2 linked regions of the Styela clava genome follow. The protein of the gene in region 1 purifies or fractionates together with the protein of each later gene. This does not show direct contact. Links are inferred from orthologs where the notes say so. Each region holds a gene or a part of one and is shown on either strand. Other genes may lie near its edges. The genes, in order: ribonucleases P/MRP protein subunit POP1-like and ribonuclease P protein subunit p29-like.

Evidence for each region.
Region 2: the proteins of ribonucleases P/MRP protein subunit POP1-like (region 1) and ribonuclease P protein subunit p29-like purify together in Homo sapiens (affinity purification with mass spectrometry; 5 studies listed by BioGRID and IntAct, counting the BioPlex papers as one, with this or other methods). This does not show direct contact. The link is inferred for Styela clava from reciprocal best matches to the Homo sapiens genes POP1 and POP4.

What each region holds. Positions count from the first base shown.
Region 1 is NC_135257.1:9,026,266-9,030,203, reverse strand, and holds the start of ribonucleases P/MRP protein subunit POP1-like, read right to left. Parts: upstream 3,011-3,938; 5' UTR 2,871-3,010; intron 2,533-2,870; 5' UTR 2,508-2,532; coding exon 2,462-2,507; intron 2,124-2,461; coding exon 1,995-2,123; intron 1,463-1,994; coding exon 1,394-1,462; intron 621-1,393; coding exon 523-620; intron 1-522. UniProt on the Homo sapiens protein: Component of ribonuclease P, a ribonucleoprotein complex that generates mature tRNA molecules by cleaving their 5'-ends. Also a component of the MRP ribonuclease complex, which cleaves pre-rRNA sequences.
Region 2 is NC_135262.1:12,185,326-12,188,865, forward strand, and holds ribonuclease P protein subunit p29-like, read left to right. Parts: upstream 1-1,058; 5' UTR 1,059-1,152; coding exon 1,153-1,584; intron 1,585-1,891; coding exon 1,892-2,086; 3' UTR 2,087-2,943; downstream 2,944-3,540. Other genes in the region: large ribosomal subunit protein bL27m-like, read left to right, coding at 2,980-3,031, 3,113-3,223. UniProt on the Homo sapiens protein: Component of ribonuclease P, a ribonucleoprotein complex that generates mature tRNA molecules by cleaving their 5'-ends.

The sequences.
Region 1 (3,938 bases):
CACTTAATCAGGCCTGAAACGTTTACTCAAAAGTCAACACATTCCATGTCAATATACATTTAATGTGACTTCTGATGCTGCATGTTGTCGCTGCGGGCCTTGAACGGTTGCTCACATGCAGCCCAAGTTGAAATCTACGATACTCATCACCCTTTTTCGTTTAGGCATCTCCGTAGTATTTTAAAACTCTATCGCTTTGTGATGTCACAATATATGTTCCAGAATCCCCATGTTTTGTCACAATGTCTGTCTGGTAATTTTCTTACATAACATAGACATGCGCTGGGCCCGCGTTGTCAAACGTATTGGGAATTTTTTGCCAAATTTGGCCATAAAATAGTTTGAAGTCTAGTAACAATAGTAAGCTTAATCTTAGAATAATAGATTTTTCTGGGAGCCATATGCCGTCACCAAAAGAGCCATATATGGCTCGCGAGCCATGGGTTCCCGACCCCTGCTCTATACTTTGATTTCATTCAGTATTAATAAACAATTAAGGGAAATGATTATCCTGTTATTTACCTGTAGGACAGCTCTATCACTTGTGTGCTGTGATACCGCCTGTAGCATCGCTTTCATTTCTTTGGCAGATGATTCTACTTTGTCAGCCACACAGATGGCTAAAATATATCAAGAAATAAGAATTGACACTTATCACCTGTAGAAGTGTGATAGGTATTTAAAAAAAAAGGGGGATTCATGAGAAAATTGTAAAGCCTAAATCATCTTGATTCTTGATTATCAATATTGCAATTTGATGTTGAATATAAAATTTTGATGTGGCGAACCAGTTAAAAAAATTAGTAACTACCATAAGAATTGTCAAGTCATTCAACCAGAAGTCAAATCCAGTTGATGGCCATAAAAGCAAACGATACCAAATACAGTAAGATCAAAATTTTTCAGTTTAAAATAATGAGGATAACTAAAATTGGTATATAATCTCAATTATTATTATAAATTATTTTTATGTCATTTTTTCCCATTTTACAAAATGAAATTAAAAAAAACATTACCATTGCTGCTACATATGGAGGTTCAAATATCCAATATTGAAATGGATTTTAAAACAAAATTTCAGAAAATTCAGTAGTAATCTCATCCATGGCTAGATTTTGTTTTAATTTAATCACCCAACTAAAATTGGCCGAATCAATAAATTCGGTAAGTTGAAGAACGAAACTTTCAAACGAATATTGCATGTGTGAATGGATGAGGATGACTGAAGAAACTAAACTATTTGCGGAGCAAAGAACCAAGGTTCCGATCAAATTCTTCTTTTTTTGTGAAATTTTGTACCTAGTGGACATAAACACTAGTGAGATGCTGCTGTGCAAATACCTAAAAAGACATGAACTGCTTCTATACATTGTACATGAATATTGAATATTACCTCTAGGAATTTCAACTTGGCTTTGTGATTCCGAATCAACCATATCTTTGTAATATTCATGACGAGAAGCTGAAAAATGATTGGTAAAAAATGAAATTATGCTTTGATGATTTATGTAATTTTATTAGTATACAAAATTTTATACCCATGACATGTATAGTCAGATTTAGTATTTGGTACAAGTACTGTGGTCGGAAATAAAAAAAAAAAATTCAAATCGAACTTAAATGATTGCATACGCTAAAGTTTTTTATTTCAAATTTTGTTATCAGGAGTCAGGAGCTGGAAAGTTTTGGTAACCTAAAGAAGACTCCATAACCCTGGTTGTTCAGTTGTTTTTGACTGCATATAATCAACAAAAGTCTCTGCATAATTTTTGCCAAATATGACATATTAAATTCTATGAACTATGAAGTGCTTTCTCTCATCTAGGTTTGGAGAAATTTTACAGGATTTAGCAAAAATAATGAAAACCGGCAAATTTGTTGATATCTGATAAAGGTTGTCCAGAAAAAAATTGAGAATTCGAAAAACAAATTGATTTAACAAATTTAACAACTTATCAGTATCTCAAGTTATATTTAATTTCTAGACAACATACAATCTTTCTTCTTGTTGACTACCACATTCTGTGGCTGATATCTCATTCGTTTCTTCCAGCGAACGATACGATTAGTAACAGAATCTTGTTGCTGCTCAGAACCAGCTTTACCGACTTTGGCAGATGCATCTGTTGAAAAATTTGGTCAAAATATTCAAAAGCAAGTACGAAACAACCAATGAAATTGAAAATGTTTGGCAGTTTGTCGATCATGCTGCTCATCGTCAAGTCAAGCTGAGTTGAATTACCTTTTAGCTGTGAGTTTTATGATATTAATTAAGGTTGAAATTTTATATTAAACCATTGCAGCAGATGACTGATGAGGTATTTAAAAGAATTAGAATAACTCATTGAAAATGATATCCTGATGTAACCTCTCATATTAATTCTAATTATAAAGTTCAAGAACATCGTAGTTAGGTAGATAATCTCACACTACCATAGAATCATGTTAACTAGCTTCTTACTTTGAGATATACTAGCAGCTTTGCTATTACTCTGTTTTGCCTCCATTTTTCAATCCTACGAGTTTAATGAACTGAAAGAAAAGATGACTGGTTTAAATATCAATTATTAAGCAAAGATATTCTACCAGAAAAGAAAGTTCAAAATACAGAAATGTAGCTACGGATCCGAAGAAAAAGAACCGTTCTTGATCCAAGACATTATTGAGGCTATTATCAAAAATTTTATAGTCAGGAAATGGGTATAGAGAAGTGTTTATAACATATGGTGTGTTTATAACGACTAAGCCACAGCACCAAATCGTCAATTTAGAACATGAAAAGTGTTTCATACTTCAGTAAATTTAAACATTTGGATGTTTTTTGCAGCTATTATTCAGAAATGTCATGTAAATTTGAAAATATTACTTACCGTTTCACCATGTAAAATTTTTCCTTTGAATTATCGATGAGTCTTGAATAAAATAGCAAGTACCGGTATGTAAAACATGATCAAAAAAGGAGTTTCCGAAAACCTAATTATCAATTTTAGTATAGTGCTCTAACCTTTATAAAAACAAGAAAGAATCATACATAATACATTCAAGCACAAAAAAATTAGCTACTGTGAAATTCGAAATAAGGATCGAGCAAAATGATAGGACTAAGAACTATCTATGATACCCGTTTCACTACGCATTTTGTTCAATTTGATACGAAATAAAAGTTCACGAGCAATCTAAATCTGTTTCACTCATATTACATCATTAATAACCTAATTAATAATCATACCATCATAGTAAAACCAAAGTCATTTTTCAGAAGTGTACTTTTTTTGAATTTCCGTCATCTTGGACCAGTGACCATCTTCTGGTCTAGGTTTCAAAACTGAACCCGATTTAGTTTTGATTTTAGGTAGTGCCTTATGTCCTTTATAAGGTTTGGCTGTACAGATATGCAAATTACAAAAATGGGGTTTCATTAACAACCCATAAGCTAATTAGGTTCTATTGTGCCAATATGTTACTGAAAAATAGCTGACTAAAGAATGGCTGGTTCTAAATATCTTAGAGATGGCTAGACCATGCCTTGCTAGACAACACGTCATAAAAATATCCCTTTGAGAAATCCAGGTACAGAATATGTGTTCACATTTGAAAGTCTAGTTTTTACAAATGGAGCATGATCATAGACTTCATAATACAGGTTGAATTTCAGATCAATTATATTTTTTTTTTTATTATTGCAAACATAACTACCGGTACTTGATAATGTTTTCAAATCAAATAACAAGATTATATCAAATAGCTGGAAATTGTAATTTCACTTCAATATTCATAATCATCCATGCTTTGCTGTGGCAACAAAAATGATTGAAGTTTGTAGCAACATTTTATTACAAAGTGTAAAGTAATATCAGTTATATAAACAGCATAAATAGAAATGGAGCAACTAAGAATTTTCCAACATTCACCATGGAACTCATTTCTCAAAAACTCGG
Region 2 (3,540 bases), on another chromosome or scaffold:
AATCAGATGAACAGATTGTTGTATGCAAACACATACCCCATTTTACAGGCGCCAACTCGCAAAAGCACTCCTAAAATAGCCCCGAAAATTTTGCAATGGTGAAGTATAGGAAAAAATTTGCGGGTGTCAAAGGTCGAGAAAAGGCCCATTAACTAACAGGAATTATTAGATGTGTACCGACTACCGGTATAAAAGTATTCCTCGAAAGATATCGTCAAGCTGATTATAGTCAGAGTCACCTAATGCCAAATTGCCCAATCAGAATTGTCAAGTTGGATGAATGAAAATGTGGATAGACCTAGTTCACTCTATAGTAGTGATATGATAGCATAAAAGTCATATTGGGGATGGCTAAATAGGTTGATGGGTGTCAAATTAGGAATGACAAAATACTGAAATAGGGTCGATGAGTCAAAATCTCAATGGTTGCAAAAGGGATGGCGAACTACGTTCGATGCGTTTCAAAATAGAGATGGCAAAATGCGGGTAGCCCAAACTGCTGGCAGATGCATGGACTTTGCAGCTTTGGTATGCAGAAAGACGTACCGGTACCGTACGGTTTTGTAGTTGAACTGTGAACGAACAACCCATACCGGTACCGGTACCAGTAGTTTTGCACTTTCACTAAATTTTATCGCTTCAGTTGTAACCTTTCAAGAATTTAGAGACATACGGTAGGCTACTCGTACCGTTATTATTTCCTTGTTAGACTTGCTTAAGGGTGCCGCTGCTCAATAACCAAATTTGGTTTCTTGTGGCTCCCCTCACCCTGAAATGCCTTTTTATTTATTTATTGCAATTTGTATATCAAGTGTGCATTTAGTATGGTGAGAAAATAAACTACTGATTACCGTGGGTTTACCGGTAATGCTATAATAAAATAGAGCTGTAGAGAGTGAAATGTCAATAGCAACAAAATATTTGGGCTGTTATCAGGACGAGAGGCTACGGTGTTGGTTATATGATAAAGTCGTCTCATCGGTTTTTCTCTCTGAATTTTAACTTCTAGCTTTCTTTATCACGATCTTTGTTCCTGGAAAGACATCATGATTATTGCTTTTTTGTGCAGCAGTAGGTAGCCTAGTTCAGGAAATTTGTATTTTACAATTTGGGTCTCTTATATTGCAGTGTGTTGATATTTAAACCTTAAACATGTCTCGGCAAGGAACATATTCATATGTGGAAGCATTTATTCAAAAAACTATTCCTAAAATAAAAGAGCGAGATTTGAAAACTTTGAAGTCATCTTTGAGAAACAAGCCTATTATGTTGGTAGGAGAACAAAAGAGAGCTAAAAAGAGAAAACGTGAAAAACAGAATAAGAGAAGAATAAAGAATCGCATATTGGCGAAACCTACAAATTCAAACTATCAAGATTATGAAAAACTGCGTATTTTATGGATGGAATACATCACAGATTTACTCTCGGATTATCAGACATTAAAACCAGGAGAAACCAAACCATCTTTGGATAACAAAAACGCACAGGAAGTTTTGTTGAAAGCAGATTATCATGGAGCAGATCTGTCTGTGACAGGTTCACCTTGTAAATCTCATTTGGGTTTGAGTGGAACAGTCCTTCAGGTGTGCCAATATATCTGTATTATTAACCTTTTTTATTAACTCATTTTGTCCTTGTTTTGAAGTGCACTGGCACAATATGTGATTTCATCATATATCAATGGTATTTACAGATTCAATACTAATTGGTGATTGCACTCTACACATGCAACTTTTGACCTCATAATATATAGAATAAATTATTATGTTTCCTGATTATGATAACTGGATGACTTGGTAATTCGTTCAAAGGATTGTTCAGTGTGTTAAATATGCATACCAATATTTCCGTTTTTTTATTAAATTAAGTTATTTTATCTCATTTTTTCAGGAAACAAAAAACATATTTTTGATCTGCACCAAGGAGAACAAATTAGTGAGAATTCCCAAGAACAAGACTATATTCACATTGGAATATTCTGGATATCTTATAACAATATTCGGATCACAATTTTGCTTCAAGCCATCTCATAGACTCATGAAAAGATTTACGAAAAATCCACGCTTAAAAGAACTTTTGCGATGATATAACTTTTTTGCAATGCAGTTAAACTAAAATTGTTAAAGATCGGAGTTTAATGCTAAGTGATTTGTATTTCATCAAAAGCGTAATTTGTCTTCTGTTGCTTAGCAACCATCTTTTCAAAAATGTGGAAGGATATTAGTTATTAATTGCAGCACATAATTGTTAATTTCACTCAGTGTTGCATATAGATATCTTTATATCGTTTTAATGTTAAGGCCTTTTCAATTCACAATAGGTTCTCCAATACTGCTTCTCCATCTTCGAGGCTAGATAAATCTTTGTCACCGATCACCGCATATATGATTAGTTTTAATACGGGAAAATTGTGAACAAAGTGTATCAACAAAGTGACTCGCACAGACCATTTATTTTTACACAATTTTATGCGAACTCAATTATTATTAACACCCTACTTGGCCTACTAGACGTCGTTCTGTTAACTTATTCCATACTTCACTGCCTTAAATGGACCTTAGTTACTGCCTCTGGTTCAGAGGCTTATTAATAGGTAATCAACGTAGTGCAATCTTCACAGGAAATAGGTTTGTTTAAAAACAATACTACAGTATAAATTCTGAATGAATAACCATTTACAGTCTTTGCGATTAATTAAAACTCTGGAAATACAACACTCTCCCATTCAAGAACCATCGACATTCGACACCTGTGTATTTCTATTTATATCATTGAAATTTATATGGTGTTCGTTCAACTCTTACATTTTACTCAAAGAGAAAACAAGTGAAATATTATTTTGTAAGACGTGGTAACTAAATATAAGGACAATGAACTGGCAACTTGCATTTACTGACATTGCCACCCTCTCACATCCAACTCTATTATCATTTTTCTTGTAGTTTAGTGTTACTATATTAAATATGAATATATAGATCATGGAATGCATCAGAAGGTTAACAAGGGTGAAACTCCATCAATTCTCAGCTTGTAAGTCAAAATTTTTCTCGAGAATTTGTTTCAATCATTCAATTTTCAAATACAGGCATTTATCGAAAGTATATTTTTCAGCACCAACATTAAAAATCCCAAGTTGCTGTGCATCGACTGGTGGTAAAAGTAACACAAGGAATAAGAAACAAATAAATAGGAAAAGATATAGAGGAATTAAAGTTGACGATGGTGGGTTCTTGTAGAGATTAACCTTTTTTCATTCCAAATTTCTACTCCCCCTTTTGAGATGTTGGGCAATTCCAGCGTTACTTTCGTTACATCTGAGCAAATTTTCAAATTTCAAACTGACTTAACCTAAAACGTATTAGAAGTATGCAAGTCACATTGTTACTAGTTGTAGATGGCGTTAGGGGTGTAACATAGACACCATAGAGGTGGCGATACTATGGACTACTTTAACATAGGAATGTCCCGAAACACCGTTACTTGCGTTACAGAAAGAGGACAAATGAGATAAGATATTAACACCAACTAACTACTTTTTG